5 linked regions of the Mus musculus genome follow. The protein of the gene in region 1 purifies or fractionates together with the protein of each later gene. This does not show direct contact. Links are inferred from orthologs where the notes say so. Each region holds a gene or a part of one and is shown in the gene's direction. Other genes may lie near its edges.

What was found.
Region 2: the proteins of Foxj1 (region 1) and Tbc1d32 purify together in Homo sapiens (affinity purification with mass spectrometry; 3 studies listed by BioGRID and IntAct, counting the BioPlex papers as one, with this or other methods). This does not show direct contact. The link is inferred for Mus musculus from reciprocal best matches to the Homo sapiens genes FOXJ1 and TBC1D32.
Region 3: the proteins of Foxj1 (region 1) and Rfx3 purify together in Homo sapiens (affinity purification with mass spectrometry; 3 studies listed by BioGRID and IntAct, counting the BioPlex papers as one, with this or other methods). This does not show direct contact. The link is inferred for Mus musculus from reciprocal best matches to the Homo sapiens genes FOXJ1 and RFX3.
Region 4: the proteins of Foxj1 (region 1) and Cdk20 purify together in Homo sapiens (affinity purification with mass spectrometry; 3 studies listed by BioGRID and IntAct, counting the BioPlex papers as one, with this or other methods). This does not show direct contact. The link is inferred for Mus musculus from reciprocal best matches to the Homo sapiens genes FOXJ1 and CDK20.
Region 5: the proteins of Foxj1 (region 1) and Fbxo11 purify together in Homo sapiens (affinity purification with mass spectrometry; 3 studies listed by BioGRID and IntAct, counting the BioPlex papers as one, with this or other methods). This does not show direct contact. The link is inferred for Mus musculus from reciprocal best matches to the Homo sapiens genes FOXJ1 and FBXO11.

Annotation. Positions count from the first base shown.
Region 1 is NC_000077.6:116,332,552-116,336,537, reverse strand, and holds the start of Foxj1 (forkhead box protein J1), read left to right. Parts: upstream 1-1,183; 5' UTR 1,184-1,320; intron 1,321-1,795; exon of another isoform or gene 1,796-1,829; 5' UTR 1,830-1,998; coding exon 1,999-2,496; intron 2,497-3,986. UniProt on the Homo sapiens protein: Transcription factor specifically required for the formation of motile cilia. Acts by activating transcription of genes that mediate assembly of motile cilia, such as CFAP157.
Region 2 is NC_000076.6:56,194,178-56,197,691, reverse strand, and holds part of Tbc1d32 (protein broad-minded), read left to right. Parts: intron 1-825; coding exon 826-904; intron 905-1,030; coding exon 1,031-1,134; intron 1,135-1,222; coding exon 1,223-1,284; intron 1,285-2,191; coding exon 2,192-2,336; intron 2,337-3,514.
Region 3 is NC_000085.6:28,008,363-28,012,676, reverse strand, and holds the start of Rfx3 (transcription factor RFX3), read left to right. Parts: upstream 1-1,510; 5' UTR 1,511-1,705; exon of another isoform or gene 1,706-2,965; coding exon of another isoform or gene 2,966-2,991; intron 2,992-4,314. UniProt on the Homo sapiens protein: Transcription factor required for ciliogenesis and islet cell differentiation during endocrine pancreas development. Essential for the differentiation of nodal monocilia and left-right asymmetry specification during embryogenesis.
Region 4 is NC_000079.6:64,437,880-64,440,228, forward strand, and holds the end of Cdk20 (cyclin-dependent kinase 20), read left to right. Parts: coding exon 1-153; intron 154-901; coding exon 902-1,099; 3' UTR 1,100-1,842; downstream 1,843-2,349. UniProt on the Homo sapiens protein: Required for high-level Shh responses in the developing neural tube.
Region 5 is NC_000083.6:88,063,238-88,067,549, reverse strand, and holds the start of Fbxo11 (F-box only protein 11), read left to right. Parts: upstream 1-1,504; 5' UTR 1,505-2,297; coding exon 2,298-2,541; intron 2,542-2,617; exon of another isoform or gene 2,618-2,915; intron 2,916-3,008; exon of another isoform or gene 3,009-3,455; intron 3,456-4,312. UniProt on the Homo sapiens protein: Substrate recognition component of a SCF (SKP1-CUL1-F-box protein) E3 ubiquitin-protein ligase complex which mediates the ubiquitination and subsequent proteasomal degradation of target proteins, such as DTL/CDT2, BCL6, SNAI1 and PRDM1/BLIMP1.

The DNA of each region.
Region 1 (3,986 bases):
TATGTGTGTGTGTGCGTGCGTGTGCTCTGTATGTGCCATCTGTGTACCCCTCACATTCATGGAGTACACTTATAGGCACATTACAGTGGGGACATCAAGATGCAATATTTATGGATTGCTGCATGATTCTTAAAAGTGAATAAAACTGTTTACAGGGGCAAGGGAGCCATTAATTACAACGTGAATTCGTTTGTGAACGTATTCGTTTCAGTCAGTGGCTCAGGCTCTTTTTAGTATTTCTGCAGACCTGGGTACAAGGCCAGCTCCATTCCTGACTGCCCTACCTGCTTCTGCATCTGCCTTAAACCCGATCACTTCCAATCCTGCAGCTCGTCAATTATTAAAGAACCCCAAAGCTGATGGCAATAGGGAAAGCTAGGGCCCAGAATCCCTTATGCTTAGTAGTTCCCATCACTTAACCAGTTCCTGGCTAAATCAGTAGAACAAATGACCTCTTTGAGAATCTTGCAGGCCCAGGGCTTTTCTGTTTTTTGCCGGCTGGCTCTGCTTCCTAGACTGTCTGAAAGGGCAGCACCTCCGCAGATGCCCCTGGAATGCCAGCTTCCGGGAACTTGAGCAGGGTGAGTGGGCGAGCTGCTTACCGGGAGACGCTGGGTTACCCTACCCGCCTCGGTGTGTCTGCGAGCTGTGTGGCCGTTTCTGCGGATTATAAGCGACAGGTGGCATCAGAGAGTCAAACTTGCCTGTGGGCACCAGAGAAGACACTCGGGGACCAGGGAAAGGCCCCAGAAACCAGACAAAGGCCACTGGCAGCCCGGTGAGGGCAAAGACTTCAAGGGCACGGTTCCCCGAGACTTGGTCTGCAGAATCCGGGGCTGGGTCCCCTCAGCGGTCAAACCCGACGCGTTGGGGGAGGGGTTCCCGGGGCCTCGAGCGGGAGCCGAGCACCCGCCGTGAGACCCAGCGCGGGGCCCTCGGGCGGGAATGCACAGAGTCGGATCTCGGTGGCGGGTAGGGGGCTGGGTGGCGCGGGAGAGGGCGGCAGAACCAGAGAGTTCCAGAGAGTTGCCGCCAGAGGAGCTGCAAGGGCCCGCGGTCTCCTTGGAGACGTACTGGCCAATGACAGCAGCGGAAGCTGTTTATGGGGGCGGGGCGTCGCCATGGCAGCAGAAGAAGCCTTCCGAGCGTCTACTTAATGCCGGTCCCCGGGCCGTCGGCGCTCAGAGAAGCGCCGTCGGGCGAGGGGGGGGGGCGCGAAGAGGGGCGCCAGCACAGCCCTCGAGCTGGGGACAGAGAACCGCGGGAGGTGGGAGGAACTTCTTCCAGAACCTTCCTCTGGCTGGCTGCGCTCTGAGCCAGGTAAGGGACTGGGAGGGCTGTGGACCACGGGATGGGAGGGCGTCGGGACCTGCTGGCTATCCAGTCCATCGGTCGCCCACAGAAGTAGTGGGGCCACGAAAATGAAATCTGAGGAGTTCGGGAGATCGCTTCCTGCTCCTCCATAACTCGGTCCTGTGACCTTCCTTTCCCGAGACCCTTCATCCTAACACCTCTTTTCAAGGATCAGATGACCTACTTTGCCCCAGCCGCGTCGTACTGACCCCCCTGGACTATTGGGATGTGATCTTAGTTTCCCACTCTTTGGGGAAAAGAGTTAGTTTGGGCCTTCCTACCCTCTTCCCTCATTGTGGCCAACAAACCCTTCAAGGGCAGATGGAGAGAGGTGGAGACGCAGGATCAGACCAGGGTCCTGTGTTTCCCTGACCTCGCCACAGGCTGCGGGGATGAATGTGAGGGGCTCCCCCCCTAAGGCGCCTCTTTCCTCTCGGGGTAGGGGAAGAGTGTTCAGTTCCGTGGTGCTCCCGCAGGCCTCACATTCGTGTTCGGAGGAGGCGACCCCCTGGGTCGCAGAATGGAAGTGAGTGTTCTGGAGACTGTGTAACTGGAGTCTGGGTTACCAGCGGGCCAGAGAGCGCGGCGGGCCACTCCGGCTCAGCCTGTGGATGTTGACCGCCCCTTCGGAGAGTCCCCGCAGACATGGCGGAGAGCTGGCTGCGCCTCTGCGGAGCGGGTCCCGGAGAGGAAGCCGGGCCGGAGGGCGGCATGGAGGAGCCGGACGCCCTGGATGACAGCCTGACCAGCCTGCAATGGCTGCAGGAATTCTCCATTCTCAACGCCAAGGCTCCCACTCTTCCCCCAGGAGGCACAGACCCCCACGGCTACCACCAAGTGCCGGGCTTGGTGGCGCCCGGGTCACCGCTGGCGGCAGACCCTGCCTGCCTTGGGCAGCCGCACACACCCGGCAAGCCCACATCGTCGTGCACATCTCGAAGCGCGCCCCCGGGGCTGCAGGCCCCGCCCCCTGACGACGTGGACTATGCCACCAACCCACACGTGAAGCCACCCTACTCCTATGCCACTCTCATCTGCATGGCCATGCAAGCCAGCAAGGCCACCAAGATCACTCTGTCGGCCATCTACAAGTGGATCACGGACAACTTCTGCTACTTCCGCCATGCAGACCCCACCTGGCAGGTAGGGGGAGGAGAGGTGCGGGTGGTGGCCACTCCCTCCTCACGACCTCCTTCTGGCACTTAGCCAGGCTCGCATACCAGATCTGCAAGGCCAAGGAGACACCTGGCTGTGAGGTCAGGCCTCATGAGAGGCCTGACCACTCTGCCAGGTTCTGAAACTGCTCCCTTGTCTGGAGCCAAGGCCCTGGAGGTACAGACGAAGTTGTAGAAGAGGGACCAATAGGGCCCGGTGTAGCCTCATGTGGGATGTAACACTAAGGCACATTCTTGTCCCGTGTCCGAAAATTCCTAGACAATGATCTGCCCGAGGAATTAGTCAGAACTGGACTCTGAAATGGAACCTAGGTGACCTCCCTGCCAACTTCTGCACCCTGCGTCTAGAGAGTAGGGCAGAGATGAGCCCCTCTGGGTACAAAGATCAGTTGTCCAGGTGGAGGGGTCAGGAAGTCATCCTGAAGCCACTGACCAGCCTCCCACCTCAGCTCCTCCCCAGTTTCCTGCCCCCACCCCCACCCTCTCAGCCAGCCTCCCTAGGGGGGCAATTACCTGAGCCAGGTGCTTTCCACAGGGGCACTTCTGCTGCAGTGGCTTCGGGTTCTAAATCTCCAGAACCTGGCACAGAGCAGCCAATGGGCCAGGCTGCCGTGTAAACATCTCAGCCCTGCTGGCCAAAGGGTGCCCACTCACTGCCCACCTGCCTTGCTAGCATAGCCTGGGCCCCTGGACACCAGTGTGGTGTGAGCAGAACTAAGCTGCTGCGTGTGGAGAGGGCAAGATAAGGCTCAGTAGACAGAGACAGCACTGTGAACATCCTCCAGTATCAAGATCCATGTTCTAGAGACGAGGCCTGAGGTTGCCCACTCTTCCCTAAGGCAGCCAAGGAGCAAGAGGGCACGATCATAGTCCTAACCCATTCCAAATGGCTCTAACCCTGGGTCAAAAGATTCCCCAATCTTCTCCTTATTCAATGCCTTTGCCAACTCAGGTCCCAGAAAAGAGCCTTATGCGCTTGGCTGGGTAATAATCAACTGAGGTGGTTTGGGTGGGAAGAGGAGATTGTAGGGGGTGAAGGTCTAGGCCAGCAGCTGGCTCAACAAACAAGGAGTCACTAAATCTCCCAACACACACACACACACACACACAAACACACAGTCCTTGGTCACCCAGCCCCCTCCCTTAACCCACCCACTTCACAAACAGAGGGAGATGGCAGTCCAGGCCGTGGGGGAGCTGAGGGCTTTGGCCAGGACCTGCAAGCAACAGGGTAAGGGAGGGAGGGAGGATGACAGAGGGTGGCACTGAGAGCCACCCTGTGGCTCAGAGCTCGGATGACTGAGCAGGCAGATATCCCAGCAACAGAGAACAAAAGCCCCCCCCCCCCCCCATGCACTCCGGGCTCCTCATACCCTGTGGCTGGTGTCCCAGAGTCCCCGAGCTACAGCTGCCTGGTCAGGGCATCGGATCCGCCCCTCCCCCATCTGGGAGGATGCA
Region 2 (3,514 bases), on another chromosome or scaffold:
CTTATGTGTTACTGCAACTCCAAGCATGGGCTTCAAATACTGGGTGGTCTGTGTTCCGTGGGAATGTCTTAGCATTATTGGAAGATATCATTAGACATGTAGAGTCCAACTTCCTACGAAAATGTTAGCCTGGGAGTTAGAAACTAGATCATTTAATTTTATTTCTGTAGATTAAAACAATAGGAGGCAAGATTGTTTTTATTGAATGGAAACTTGTATTTCACCAGTAGAATTACGCTTCTCATGATATTTAAGTGATTATAAAGAAAGTGAAGTGACAGGTACCATTTTAATGCCTACTAGTGTCAACCATGTTTGAAACTACATTTAATTCTTGTTCAGTTTATTTTGTGATCAAATTTCAAAATATTATGTAGTATTTTTTTTTGTCTAGGGACTAGGCATAATTGCTAGAAAGACTCCTAAATACTCTAAAGAAACAATCCTGGCCTTGGAAATGTGAGGTCTCAAAATGTAGTGTTGCCTACTGTGCCACTGTTGGATGGCACCATTAAAGCCTCCAGCACCTCTGTGCAAGCCTGCAGCTTCATTTCACAGCACCACGTGACCCTTCCTCCCGCCACCATTCACTCCTACTTCCTGCTGTGACCAGATTTCACAGCAGTGCATTTTGTTGTTGGTTTTACCCTTAGTTGTGGATAATTTTACTTTTGGCTAAATGAAGACATGCCCTTTAGAATAGACACGGCCTTCCCCTGGTTTCTGCGTAGTGTATCTTGTGTTTATTTTCTGTTCCATGCGAGAAGTGTTTGGTCTGTGCTGCTGTAAGATCGCAAATGAGGATGGGCTGTTTTGCTTCCCTAGGACCGGATTTTAAAGTTCTACGCACAGACTTTTACCCTCTCACCGTTACATATGACCAAGGAGATTTATACAAGCTTAGGTATGTTCACCAAATGACTTCAATTGTTGTTCTCCTATATGCACTTAAAATCCCGTAAGAAATGACTTCTTCCAGAAGCATTGCGTAATATATATAACGACTGTATATTTTCCCTTTCCTTTTCAGCTAAATATCTGGAGGTATATTTTCTTTCTAGAGAAAATCACCTTCCTACTCTTTCAACTGGAGTAGACATAACCAGTCCCAATGTGACCCGCTTACTGAAAAAGGTATCCACTTACTATGATGTACTGTATGGAAAGTAGGGCTATATTTAAGAATTAAACTCTTTTGAGAGCTTTTGTATACTGCTTATAGGTTCGCCTTCTGAATGAGTACCAGAAAGAGGCTCCATCTTTTTGGATTCGTCACCCAGAGAAGTAAGTTCCCCAACTCCTGTGATGTAAGGTATAGGCTATGTCCTTCAATTATTTCAAGGACAGAAGGAACAGTAGTCTTGAGCGATGGACATGGTTCTATATGCCACTTAGTTTTTGTCAGCTTGACACCAAATAGGACCACCTAGGAAATAGACCCTCATCTGAGGAACTGCCCTCATCACTTGCCTATGTGTGTGTTTTTGTAACTGTAAATTGATATAGGGGGCCTCCCAGGGGCAATACCTTCTGTAGGCACATGGCCCTGGGCTGTATAAGAAAAGTAGCAAGCTTGAGGAGGCAAGACAGCAAGCAACGCCTCAATGGTTTTTGCCCCAAATTCCTGTCTTGAGCTCCTGGTCTGGCTTCCCTTAATGATGGAGTATAATTTGTAAACTAAAATGGACTTGTTTCTCTTCAAGTTGCTGTTTTACATGGTGTTAATCGTAGCACACTAGGATAGAAGGTTTTAGTGCAGTTTTTGTCAGTGTATTTGTATATTTGTGTAAATGGTTCTCCCCAAGTATGTTTTTATGTCACTTAAAACATTGTAGAAATGGGATGTTGAGGCCTTGGGCTCACCTGATGTTTGCTACTCTAAACAAGTTTCTTAAATGTTATCTTATTTTTCCATTCAGTTAAAAAAAAAGTTCTGACAAGGTTGTAAGAGCACCTGTGAGTCTAAAACTGAAAGTTAACATTTGGAGGCTAGAGTACTGGAGGAGAAAGAACAAGATTTTTAGCGCAGAAAGAGTGAGTGTGGCTCTTAGCCTCTACCATTTACAGAAAAAAAAAAAATCTCAAGGTTACATGTCACATTGTAATTTCATAAGGATAAGAATATCACTGATCTCACACACACTAAACCTTGTCAGTTTTTTTTTTTAAATCACTTCTTTCCCAAACTCAGGTATATGGAGGAAATTGTGGAGAGTACTCTGTCCTTGCTCTCAGTCAAACACGAGCAAAGCCACCTGGTGCCACAGAAGATTTTGGATCCCATCTATTTTTTCGCATTAGTTGATACTAAGGCTGTGTGGTTCAAAAAGTGGATGGTAAGGAAAAATGTTTTCTCTCTATCATTTGAGGGACTGGCCTGTGTTTCTGTGCTTGGTGTGTGCTGAGTTCTAATTGCTTTTCTGCATGTGTTAATGCCTTTAACCTGTACACGGACAGGTGTGATGGTAGATAGACATCAATCTCCCATTTAGAAGCTATTTTGCCCAGGATTTTTTGTCAAGTCAGGGTCAGGATAGTTTTTTGTTTTTGTTTTTGTTTTTTTTTTTTTATTTTTGCAGGGGGTGGGGTGTTTCGAGACAGGGTTTCTCTGTGTAGCCCTGGCCGTCCTGGAACTCACTCTGTAGACCAGGCTGGCCTTGAACTCAGAAATCCGCCTGCCTCTGCCTCCCGAGTGCTGGGATTAAAGGCGTGAGCCACCACGCCCGGCACCAGGATAGTCTTTTAAGTGGTGGTCTATTTGAATCTTCTTAAAAGGAATGATCTATTAAGGGTTCTAAAAGTCACGAATCAAAAAGCTTCAAAAATTTTAAATAGATGTTTTAAGACATGAACATTCAGGGCTCATCTCCCTTGGGTGTAGAGGATAATGCCTAGAATCAGTTTCTGTTTACTGCTTCCTGAACCTGGACTGGGGGATATGTTTAATGCCTGAAGTGGCAGTTTCCACTGAAGCTTATGACAGCCCAACACTGAAAGCCGTGTTTAAGCAGTCTTTCTACTGTCGCCCCTGTCAGCTGATGTGGAGTAACAGTCCCTCTCGGAGCAATAGCAGCAGCAAAATACAGACTTCTGTGCTGATGTCCTTGTCTTTCTCACTCCGTCTGCCAGGCTGTAGGTTCTTGTCTCAGTGGAGCAGAGAGAGGGTCAGGGACCTACCATGTGAGCGCTGACCCCCCTCTTGTAGTCCTCAGCAGGGCAGCTGGATGGCCGAACTGCCTTTGCCTTTTGATGTGGATATGGTATATGCCCCATTAATTAGAGCACAACTCTGTCTCTAGTGCTAAGCCCTTACGTTACCTATGTAGGAATGTCTGATGAATCTTTTAAATTCATTATTTTTACTTAAATCAATGTAATTGACTAGCCTGAATCTTTTGTAGCCCAGAAAGGATAATTTTTCTTAATTTTCACAAGGATGAAACTAGCTTTATTAGAGAGAATATGCAAAAAATGTAACAGCACATTAAAGAAAACTCTAAACAACACAGGGATA
Region 3 (4,314 bases), on another chromosome or scaffold:
TAGAACAGGTGTCAGGATTAAATGAGATAATGTATGTAAAACACTTAGCACAAGGTCTGGGGCACAGAAAGAGAGCTCAGCCTTATTTTAACAGGGAACTCATGCTGGCCCAAATCCCTCATGTGCCGGTGCAAAAATTAAGCCTCAAGAGGAGAACTGACTTCTTAAGGCTCTACTTCCAGTATGTTATTGTCTTGGATAAGCTGCTTAGCTGCAAATGTTGGGAGATTTTGGGTATTGGCGGGCCTGGGGGCACGTGCCTGCTGGACTCCAGTATGAGGAGAATTGGACGAATATGCTTGAACCATGAGGTTTCAGAAGCTGTGCCTTATCAACTCGAGTTTGAGGTGCCAGGTTGTGTGCTAATAATGTTCTCCATGGACAGAAGCCGTTCCCGTGTCCAACACAGCTCAAGAACAAGCTACCCCCAGGCTGTTAAGAAACCGATGCCAGCTAATAGGGCGATTGGTCTAGCTGGGATCCATCCCGTCAACTCTGAAAGGGTAGAGCCCCTTAAGGACCTACCGAGGGCTACTCTGAAAGGTCTAACCCACCCCTGTAGGGACCCTCATCCTCGGAAAGCTCGAATTCCCTTCCCCTTGGCACTTCCTCCCGGTCCTGCAGGGTGCTAACTTGGCGTCTCGGTTCCGCAGGGAGGTAGCGGCCGCGCCGAGCGAGATGGGTCACCGTTCGCGCGCCCAGGCTCTCGCTCCCTAAGATGGCGGCGGGAGCACCGCTCACACCCCGCCGCCCGCGCTCCTCAGGACCCCGCGGCCTCGGGAGGCGCGAGAAAGCGGAATTCGATGGAGGGGAGGGCAAAGCCGAGACCCTGGAGGCCCGCGCCGGCCGCAGAGAGTCTGGGAAAGGGATCACCCGCGAGGCATAAACGACCGACCGGGAAACACCACACTGGCGACCACGGAGAGGGAGGGGAGAAAAAAAAAAAAAAAAAAAAAAAACCTGAGCGGGGCGGGGGGAAGAGAGGAGAGAGAGGGGAGGAGCGCAGCACATCCGGGATATTAGCTGGGGCCGCCCAGGAAATGACGTACGCCCCGGGGTGGAGCCCGCTCTTCAAAGTGGGGTCTGCCTCCGCGGTAGCGCGCGTCTCACACAGTGTTGGCTCCGTCGTCACTCCCCCTCCCCTGGCTTCGCGCTTTTCCTCTCGCGGCTGCGGGGCGGCTGGGCACAGAGCTGGCGGCAGAGGCAGGCGGGGCTCCTTTGACGGAAAGTAGCCCTCGCCTCCAGACCCTCAGCTTTCCCCGGCGTCCTCCGTCCCGTTCCTCCAGGCAGACTCGCCCTGACCCCGGGCCCGCCAAGTCTTAAAGCGCACCTCGGGGGAAAAACCGACGTCGGAATCCCGACCGCAGCCCCCCGCCCGGGCTCCGAGCTGTCAGTCACGGCGCCGAAGCCGCTTCTTCCGGCGCTCTCGGGCCCGCCCTCTCCCCTCCTCCCTCCCCCCCGCCCCTCCCCGCGCGAGTGTCTCCCTCTCCCTCGCTCCCTCTCTCTCTCCCTCTCTCTCTCTTTTGTGAGTTATAGCAACCGTTGCCTTGTGAATCAAGCGCCATAGTCACCGTAGTCCTGGCGACTGTTACCCATCAACAACAACTACTCCTCTCCTCCTCCTCCTCCTCTTCCTCCTCCTCCTCCTCCCCACCACCACCATCTCCATCACCCACCAACAACACCACAATAATCCACAGCCAAGGTGAATATTCTTCGGTCTCTCTACATGTGTGTGGGAGCGTGTGTGTCCGTGCGTGTGTTCGTGTGTGCGAGCGAGCGTGGCTGTGCGGGGTCTCCCTCCTGACACCGGCTGCGGCCGCTTGAGGGGCTCGGTCCCGGGGGCTTGTTTACAATGGACCCGCGCGCGGCGGGCTCGGGGGTGTGGGCGCCGCGCGCCTGCCCGCCCGGCCTCGGCGCTCGGGGATGGAGCGGGAGCCGGGGCTGCGGGGCGAGCGGGCTAGGAAGCCGCCGCTGTCCGTCGCGGGTGTTGGAGCGTCCCCCCCAGGTCCGCGGGCGCCCAGGAGGAGGGGCAGGTGGAGAGAAGGGGCTCGCTTTCTCCCTCTCTCTTTCTTTAATTCGCTGCTTTGCAAAGCTGCCTGGTGGCTGCTGCTTTCCAAATCGAAATAGACAGCAGTGAGCAGGGGGGGTCCCCAAAAGGTGCTGCGCTGTGGTGGTTGTTGTTCACTTGCGGGGCCTTGTTGGGGGTTTTGTTATTTTTATCCTGGTACCTCGGTGAACTTTTCCCGAAGCCCGCTCCCTTCGTTTCGGCCCCTCTGTGCCTGCTGCTGAACGGACTGCACTTATTTGACCATCACTGGCCTCACGGGATTCTTTTTTTTTTTTTTTCTTTTAAAACTGTATTTTTCTTTGTGCTGCAAACAGTCTTAATATCCATTCAGCAGTCTTCTCCCCCCTTCCCCCCATTTGCACACACATTGAAACTAGGGGGCCTCTGCTGCTCTTGAGAGATTTTTTTTTTAAGTCTGTTTCTCTGTTTCTCTTCTCTCCTCTTTCCTCTCTTGTCTCTCCTCTGTCTCCTCTCCCTCTCCTCTCTCTCTCTCCCCCCTCCCCTTTTCGGGTTTGTGTGTGTGTGTGTGTGTGTGTGTGTGTGTGCTTGTGATTTAAACCGGATGCAGGGCATCTGTGCTACTTTGGTTAGTGGCTACTGACAGCGCTTTATCCTTCATGTGGAGATGGGAGGGGTAGTCCTGAGGTTCTGTTTCACTTTGATGCACCTCCCTCCCCACAGGAGAGTGTTAACAATTTTCATTGTGGTTTAGACTTTGTCTGTGATGAACAGGAAAAGGATATAAGGAAGCTTTGTGAGAACTCAGTTCACAACGCTATTTGTGACAGTTATGGTACTTTGAGAGTTTTTTTTTTTTTTTTTTTCCTTCTCCCATCTTCATCTCTATTCCTTTCCCTTGGAGAGTTGAAATTGAAGTCAAGTTGTTCATAAAGAATGTATGAAGCTTCTCAACTTGAAACGTGTGTATATTTCACTTTCTTTGTGGCTGTTAAGATCTAGGCATGTGTGTACTTAACATATTCTTTTTTGTTGACTTTTTGGTTTTCTTTGGACAATGATTTAAACCTGTTCAGAAGAAAAAAAAAACTTCCTTTTAAAGTGTTTCTTTAGAGGAAATAGTTGCCCTTGTAGATCTGAATACTTACCAGTTATGAAGTAGTATCGTCTTGATTAGAACCTGGCTTTGCAGATCCTTAATTTGCTCATTTTCAGCATAACAATTAATAGGTTATCAGAAAAAAATTGATGATGATTGTGAGCTAAAACAAATAGATTGTACTATTATAGTGGCACATTGAAATTTCCAATTCATATTTTAAAGTGCTTATTTAAATAATCTTTCCAACAGCAAACATTTATTGATTTAACTGACAGAGCAGCCTGTGAATAATGTGACAGTATTAATTATTCTTGAGATTGTCAATGGAGAGGTTGGGTAATTATAATGCCATTAAGGCTAATATTTTGTAAAACAAGTAAGAGTTGGGGGATTGGGAAAAACCTTACTTTTCAATTCATTTTCGTGTGATTGTTATTTTAAATGAAGCTGAGATTTGATTCTGAAAGAAGTCTGTTTGGATCTCTCAGCATTCTTTATATTTATTCATCCATTCCCAACCTGTCTTTGCAATTTTCAAATACTAACTTTTATTTTTTCTTTTCTTCTCATTTTCTTTTTTCTTTTCATCTTTCTTTTCTTTTTCTTCTTTTCCTCTTTTTTGTTCAGATGAGTGTCAAACGCCTGAACACTTTTCGATGGTAAAGCTCCTGGGTCTGAAGTTAAAAGGAGTTTTGCTGTCTTGGGACAGTTTTAGATCTTAATGGCATTCACATATGTTTCAGCTGAGTAGATTGTATATATTAAAATGTCTTAGATTAATATTTTATTTGTCGTGTCCAAGAGTGTTTAAGAGTCATTTCACTCATCAAGCATGTGTTTAATTTAGTTTTTTCCATTCACAAGTTAATTTGAGAGCAAATGTGGCATTGCATTATGTTAAGTAGCCTGTCCATTTAAAGCAAATCTTTGTGTTTTAAGAGTTGATATTAGAGATGCTTTAAAATAAAATAGTTTAGTGGATTGATTAACTTAGAGTTATAACAATTTATCTTTAAAATTAAATACAAATTTAAGTACCATTTAGTTCGACTTTTTTTTTCTGTGCTATTTTTCCTAGGAGGGACTGTACTATGCATTGACATTCTTTGTTTTCAGTGTTTTAGACTAACAGAAATCTGTGAACATAATCATGCTTTGAAATTAAACATGTGAAATAATGTTT
Region 4 (2,349 bases), on another chromosome or scaffold:
ATCACAGAGCTGCCTGACTACAACAAGATCTCCTTCAAGGAGCAGGCACCAGTGCCCCTGGAGGAGGTGCTGCCTGATGCCTCTCCCCAGGCCTTGGACCTGCTGGGCCAGTTCCTCCTCTACCCTCCACGACAGCGTATTGCAGCCTCCCAGGTAGGGTTAAAGGTTGACCCTTGACCCTGCCAAGCCAGAGACGCTTAGAACCCGCGTAGGGTGGAACCCTTGGAGGTGGGGTTTTGATGGAGTGTTCTCCAGGAGGCTTCGGGAGAGAAGTCAGTGACCCCTGCCCTCTGTCCAGCCCCTCCCCCTTGTCAGTGGGTCTTGCCTGCAGTTGCAGGTGTGAGTGTTGTCTCTTTCTCACCCTGACTGCTCTTGCTGTGTTCCTAGCCCTCCTGTGTTTGCTCCTCTCAAGCCCTAGGCTTTCCTTTGGGCTTGTGCTCCTGGGACCCAGCTCTTCAAAGCCTGCAGCATCTCTCTAGTCCTCCTCAGCCTTTCCACCCAGCTTTATTATATGGTTTGTCCTGGGAGACACGAACGAGTGTCTGTTCACTGCAGAAAGGACACTGATAACAAATCTGACCTGAGTCGGGCTTTAGTATTAGGTACTTCCTGGGACTTGTGTGTTTTCAAGGAGCCTCCTGCCCAGAGGGAATGTTTCAATTGGGAAGGAATAGCTAGCTACACCACAAGCTCTCTTTGTTGCCGGGGACATACTGTGCATTTTGCCCCTTTCTCTGGTTTATGTCTCCCACCCCTTCCTCTGTTGGCAAGAATTTTTGGCTCACTGAAATGTTCCCAGCTGTTGGGACAGTGCTCCAGACATAGGCACGTCGGCAAGGTTTGCTGAGTCAGTTGAATGATTTTGGGGATACATAATGACTGGATTTCTTGCTACCCCCAGGCCCTTCTGCATCAGTACTTCTTCACAGCGCCTCTGCCTGCCCATCCATCCGAGCTGCCAATTCCTCAGCGCCCAGGGGGACCTGCACCCAAGGCTCACCCAGGGCCCCCCCATGTCCACGACTTCCATGTGGATCGACCTCTTGAGGAGTCACTGTTGAACCCAGAACTGATTCGGCCCTTCATCCCAGAGGGGTGAGATGCTGGTCCAGGCCTTCCTGCTCGCCCTAGGAGCACCTCTTTCTGATTTGCCTCCATGGCCTCCCCACGGCTATATATACCACACCTGGTCCTGCTCCTTAGTGTGCTTGAGGGCTGGGCTCTGGGAGGCAGAACCGTGAGATGTTCATCCCAGCAGAGAAAGAGACTCACGTCCTACAGACAAAGCCTCCAGAAACTGCTAGCTGTGTCCTTCTCCAGGGCCACCCCTCAGTGGTGCCACCCGGCCTTAGAGATGATTGTCAGGCTCTGTCCCCTCTTCAAGGACATTGGTACTACAGCACCACCTGGTGGAAGCACAGAGTATAAGCTGTCTTCATACCGGGGACACAGCTGGGAAGTCAGACATGTTTTAGTTTTGGTTCCACTGGGTCAGGATTTGAGGTTCATATAAAAGCCCTGGGTGTTTCTGTCTAATTGCACCTTGTCTGTTGCTGTTAGGGAAAGGACAATGGTGGGCCTTGATTCACAGGGGTCAGGTACTCAGAAGAGGCCTCCTGTGAAGGCCATTTGGGTCCTCAGGCTTCCCATGCTATTCACGGGACTTGAGTGCTCATTTGGGAGCGAGAGTCCAGAAGCTGAGGCCCAGGGATGGACAGTCCAGTTCCCGAAGCACACTTCCCACATGTCGGGTGGGTCAGTCAGTGAGCCTGAGGCTGCCTTGCAGATGCGGAAGCAGACATTCCTGGAATCCACTCAGTAAATAAATTCCAGTGTGACTCAGCCAGCTTGTGTTTTATTTCATAGGGATATATTAAGATGAGTCTAAAACAGTGACTCTCTACCTCCCAATGCTGCAACCCTTTAGTTCTTCATGTTGTGGTGACCCCCTGCCCCAACCATAAAATTATTTTTGTCATACTGCATTAACTGTAATTTTGCTACTGTTATGAATTATAATGTAAATATCTCACATGTGATTCCCAAGGGGGTCAAGACCCACAGGATGAGAACCACTGGTCTAGATCCTGCGATGTCGAGGAGGGGGGAGCAGAGAGAAGATGATAAAAGGACTTGTGTGTTGGCCATTCAGATTTACTGCAGGGTTATATAACAACTAAGACAGGATATCGTTTCAGGGATGGATTAGATAGGATCTTAACTATCCATTATTCAGATACATAACAAAATCTGGTAGTGGTTGTGGTGTATGCCTGTAACCCCACTCAGGGGTCTGAGGTGGGAGGGTTCCTAAGAGTAGAAGGCCATGCTAGGCTACAGTGCAAGATC
Region 5 (4,312 bases), on another chromosome or scaffold:
AAAGATTGTGAGTCTTTGAAAATCACATGACCAAAAAAGAAAAAAAAAAACCCAGCAATTGTACATCATATGATAGGTTATTATTTAAATGGCAGGAGATGTCTGACATCTAGAAGGGTGATTTGCCAACAGTGGTGGCGAATGCCTTTAATCCCAGCACGTGGGAGGCAGAGGCAGGCGGATTTCTGAGTTAGAGGCCAGCCTGATCTACAGAATGAGTTCCAGGACAGCCAGGACTACACAGAGAAATTCTGTCTCAAAAAACCAAGAAAGAAAAAAGAAAAAAAAAAAGAAAAAGAAAAAAAGAAAAAAAGAAAAAAATCTGTAATTTACACATAGCACAATACCGTAGACTTACCTCTCCTGTGCGTCCCTTAGAATTCACTTTTCTCCCTCCCTTTCTGAAGCTTTGTAATGTTTTATCTATCTTAAGCCTAGAAAGCAATCAATGAAATTCAAGTAGAAAATCACTGACAGCTCCGAAATGAGGGAATCCAGAGATAAACCACTAGCTATGCAATAAGGAATAGTGAGCGGAGTACATTTTCAGTCTTCATAACGGCGGCCAGGGAATAGAAACACATTTTCCTTGGGGAGAGATTGTGCTAAGGGGACCAGACACAGATACAAAAGATTATTCCTCTCGGGGGTTTATCTTTCTTGACTTCGTGGGACCTAAAACAAAACCAATATAATCCATCACAACCTCCACCCGTTTTATTTTACTTCTTCCGGAACACCATGTAGACCACTTGCCCCCCCCCCCCCCCCAAAAAAAAAGCCTAAAGCAAACTAACTTGGTTAAAGATCTAAAACATTCTGAAAGTTTGGGCGACAAAAGCTGGAACCGACTCCAGACTCTCTCTTAAGTTCTCAGCAGAGCCGAAACAAGATTTCTTAAGGTTTGCAAATAAATCCCTTCAGCTGGACTAAAAACGCACAGAGCCTGGAGCGCTCCCTACAGCTGAGAGCTTGAACCTACCGAGCCCAGAAATCCGGAGTTACCCAAGACGGAGTCCCTCACTCCTTGTGGCGTTTAAGAGAACCAGGTGAAGGTTGGGGTGGAGGGAGGCTGAACCGGCAAAAGGCAGGATTAATCACTTCTCCCAATTGCATCAGCAGCCCCCGCCCTTCCTTCAGAGCACCTCCTATCCTAGAACCTTCGCTACGTACTGCCGCTCCTTCGCCCACCCCCGGCTCCATTATATGCCCTGATACCTCCCCATTATCACCCGCCCTGCCACACTCCCCCCTTTCCTCTTTCCTCCTCCTCCTCCTCCGTCGGGGAAGGAGGAAACCCGAGAGAGGAAACAGGGTGTTGGAGGAAGGGGGCTCCGCGATAAGAGAGGAGGCTCCATTGGCTCCGACACCGTACGGGCGCTTCCCATTGGTCAGGCCCCGCCGGAATCCACGCCCCCTCTGTCCCCGCCCCCGCCCCTCCCCCGCCGGCTCGCGGCCCTCCCCCCGCGCCCCCCGGCCAGCCCCGCGGCGGGGAGGGACCGACAGGGCTTGAGCGGAGAGGCTCCGGCGGTGTCAATGGCTCCTCCTGCCACGGAGCAGCAGCAGCAGCAGCAGCGGCAGCAGCAGCAGCGGCAGCGGCGGCGGCGGCGCTGGGGCTGAGGAGGGAAGGTTCCTTTAAGGAGGAGGAACGACGACGCCTCTTTTGCCCCTATCTCCTCCCTTTTACACTCATTTCCCCTTCGCCGAGGGTGGGGGTGGGGGGGGCGGAGGAGAGAGAAGAGGCCGAAGAAAGAGAAAATTCCTCGCAGGGCGCTCTTTCAGGGGGTGTGGGGGGAGGACGAGGAACGGAGGAGCCGGGCGCCCCCCGCGCGCTCCCGCCCCGCTCGGCTCGCCCTCTCCGAGATCGCCCGTCCGCCCACTCCCCCCGCCGCCGCCGCTGCCGGAGACGCCGCTCGGGAGTCGGCGGGCCCGGCTCGTCTGCTCGGCCGCCGCCGCGCTTCGCCTCGGGCTCCCCAGGCGGACGGACGCCCTTTCTTTCTTTCTCTTGCCCGGCCCGTCTCTCTGTCTGCGTCCCTCGCGGCCGCCCCGCCCGGCGGCCTCGGCCTTGCCCGTGCGCCAGGCCCGGCCGGCGGGCCTCGCTCAAGCTCCGGTGGTGCCCCCAGCCTCCCCGCGGAGCCGGGGGAAGCTCACGCCCGGTGGCCCCCCGGTCCCCGCGTCCCCGGCCGCCCCGCTCCTTCCCGCTCCCCACCCCCTTCCTCCCCGGCCCCGGAGCTCGCGGTGCGTGTGCGCGTGAGTGTGTGTGTCCCTCCGCCAACGCCGCCACCTCAGCCCGGCAAATGAACTCCGTCCGAGCCGCCAACCGGAGACCCAGGCGAGTGTCGCGGCCGCGCCCGGTGCAACAGCAGCAGCAGCAGCCCCCGCAGCAGCCGCCGCCGCAGCCGCCTCAGCAACAGCCGCCGCCGCAGCCGCCCCAGCAGCCGCCGCAGCAGCAGCCCCCGCCGCCGCCGCAGCAGCAGCCCCCGCCGCCGCCCCCGCCGCCTCCGCCGCCGCCTCAGGATCGGAACAACGCCGGCGAGAGGGGTAAGGCCGCGCTCGGGGCCTGGCTGGGCGGGCGGGAGGCCGGGCGGGGGCGGCGGCGGCGGCGGCGGCGCGCCCGGGGTGGGAGACGGAGGCCGAGCGGAGGCGGGTCCCACCGTGCCGCAGTGTTCGCCTGGGCCCGGCCCGGCCGGGCCTGGCCGGCAGGAAAAGCCGCGGCTGCGCGATCCGCCCGGGCTGCGGCTCAGGCCGCGCTTTGTTTGGTTTCGGGGCTGGCACCCTCCGTCCCCACCCCTCCTTGGGGCTTCCCGGCTGGCTCGCCCACCCCACGGGAGTCTGTTCGCGGCCGGGGGCGGGCAGGAGGGTGGGATTTCCCCCCTTTCTGCGCCTGGCTCGATCTGGGCTCCCCCTTTCTCGTGGTAGGTGGGGGGACGGCTGGCTGCGTGGGGCGGTGAGGCTGGCCGGGGAACTTGTTTTCCCCTTCTCTGTGGGCTCCCCCTTGCCCTGGAGGAGGGGGAGAGGAGCGCCGGAGTGGTCCGCCGCGCTGGCTGGGGAACTTGCGTGCCCCCTTCCAGGTCGCAGGGCAGGGGGAGCCTCGGCCCCTCTCTCGACCACAACATCTTTGCTGCACAGTTTGCCTTTAGTTACAGAACCCCGGGGAAGAACCCGTTAAATCAATACCTTTAAATAAATAAATATAGAAGCTATCGGCCATTTCCAGCCCCCTCCCTCGTGTGCAGTGCAGTTACCCTTCCGCTGTGTCGTCCCCCTTTCCTCTCCAACCCACTACGCCACGGTGCTCCCCTCGGTCTCCGGGTGGGTTTGAGCACCCTCGCCGTAGAACGGGCCCCTTGGGATCGTGTGTGTAGCTGTATGTAGACGAGCGCGCGCCCGCGCGCGTGTTGTGACCAAGGCCTAGTGAAATGTGTCATTTGGACCCAACTGTGCTGCGCTGTCTGGTAACCACCATTGTCTAAGGGCTGAGGCTCCCTGGGGTTGGATTCTTGCTTTAGCAAAAATAATGTTCGGTTTTGCTTGAATGATGTGGTTACGTGGAGAGAGGTTTGTGAGATGAGAGTGTTGCACCTTGATCTCCAAACATAACTAGTCTCTTTATTAATGAGCTGCTTGCAGCGGGGTGTAAGTCAGCACGGTATTTTGTGTATGGTTGTTTTAAAGAGGAGAATTGTTAGGAGACATTTTGCGTGTTTTGGTTGGCGGATTAAGGGTAATTTTTACATGCGTTGGTTGTCACACCTCCTTTGATTGAGACTCCGTTTAAATATAATTTTAAAAATTGTACATTCTTTAACTGCTTCATTGTATTTGATCAAAATATTTATCAGATGAAGGAAATTGCTAGAAAAACAGTTTAAAAGGTTTGCCTTAGTCACTGTTACAATAGTCTTTGAGAAAGCAGCTGGCTGTATGTTATTTGAGAGATGTTTCAAACCGGCTAGGAGTCTTTTGCAACATGGTTGGTAAAACTGTTTTAATGATTCTTTGGTACATTCACTAATTTTTGACAAATTAAAAAAATTGTCTCATGTTACCTTTCACTTCCACGGACCGGAGTTGTCCGATGTTCCGTTCAGATTACCAGGTCTTGTAGAATTGACATGAGGGAAAAGAAGCACCCTTGAAATGTTACTGACGTGGTCTCAGAGTAAGCCTTGTAAAGATGCTCTGATCTACTAGAAGCACATCACCCAAAGTGTCAGCCAAACTCGATTAACTCCCATCGTGTATTTCTAAATGTTTAGTCTGCATTCCTGTTTCATCACTTGCTATAATTCCCACTCTACTTGAGATAGAC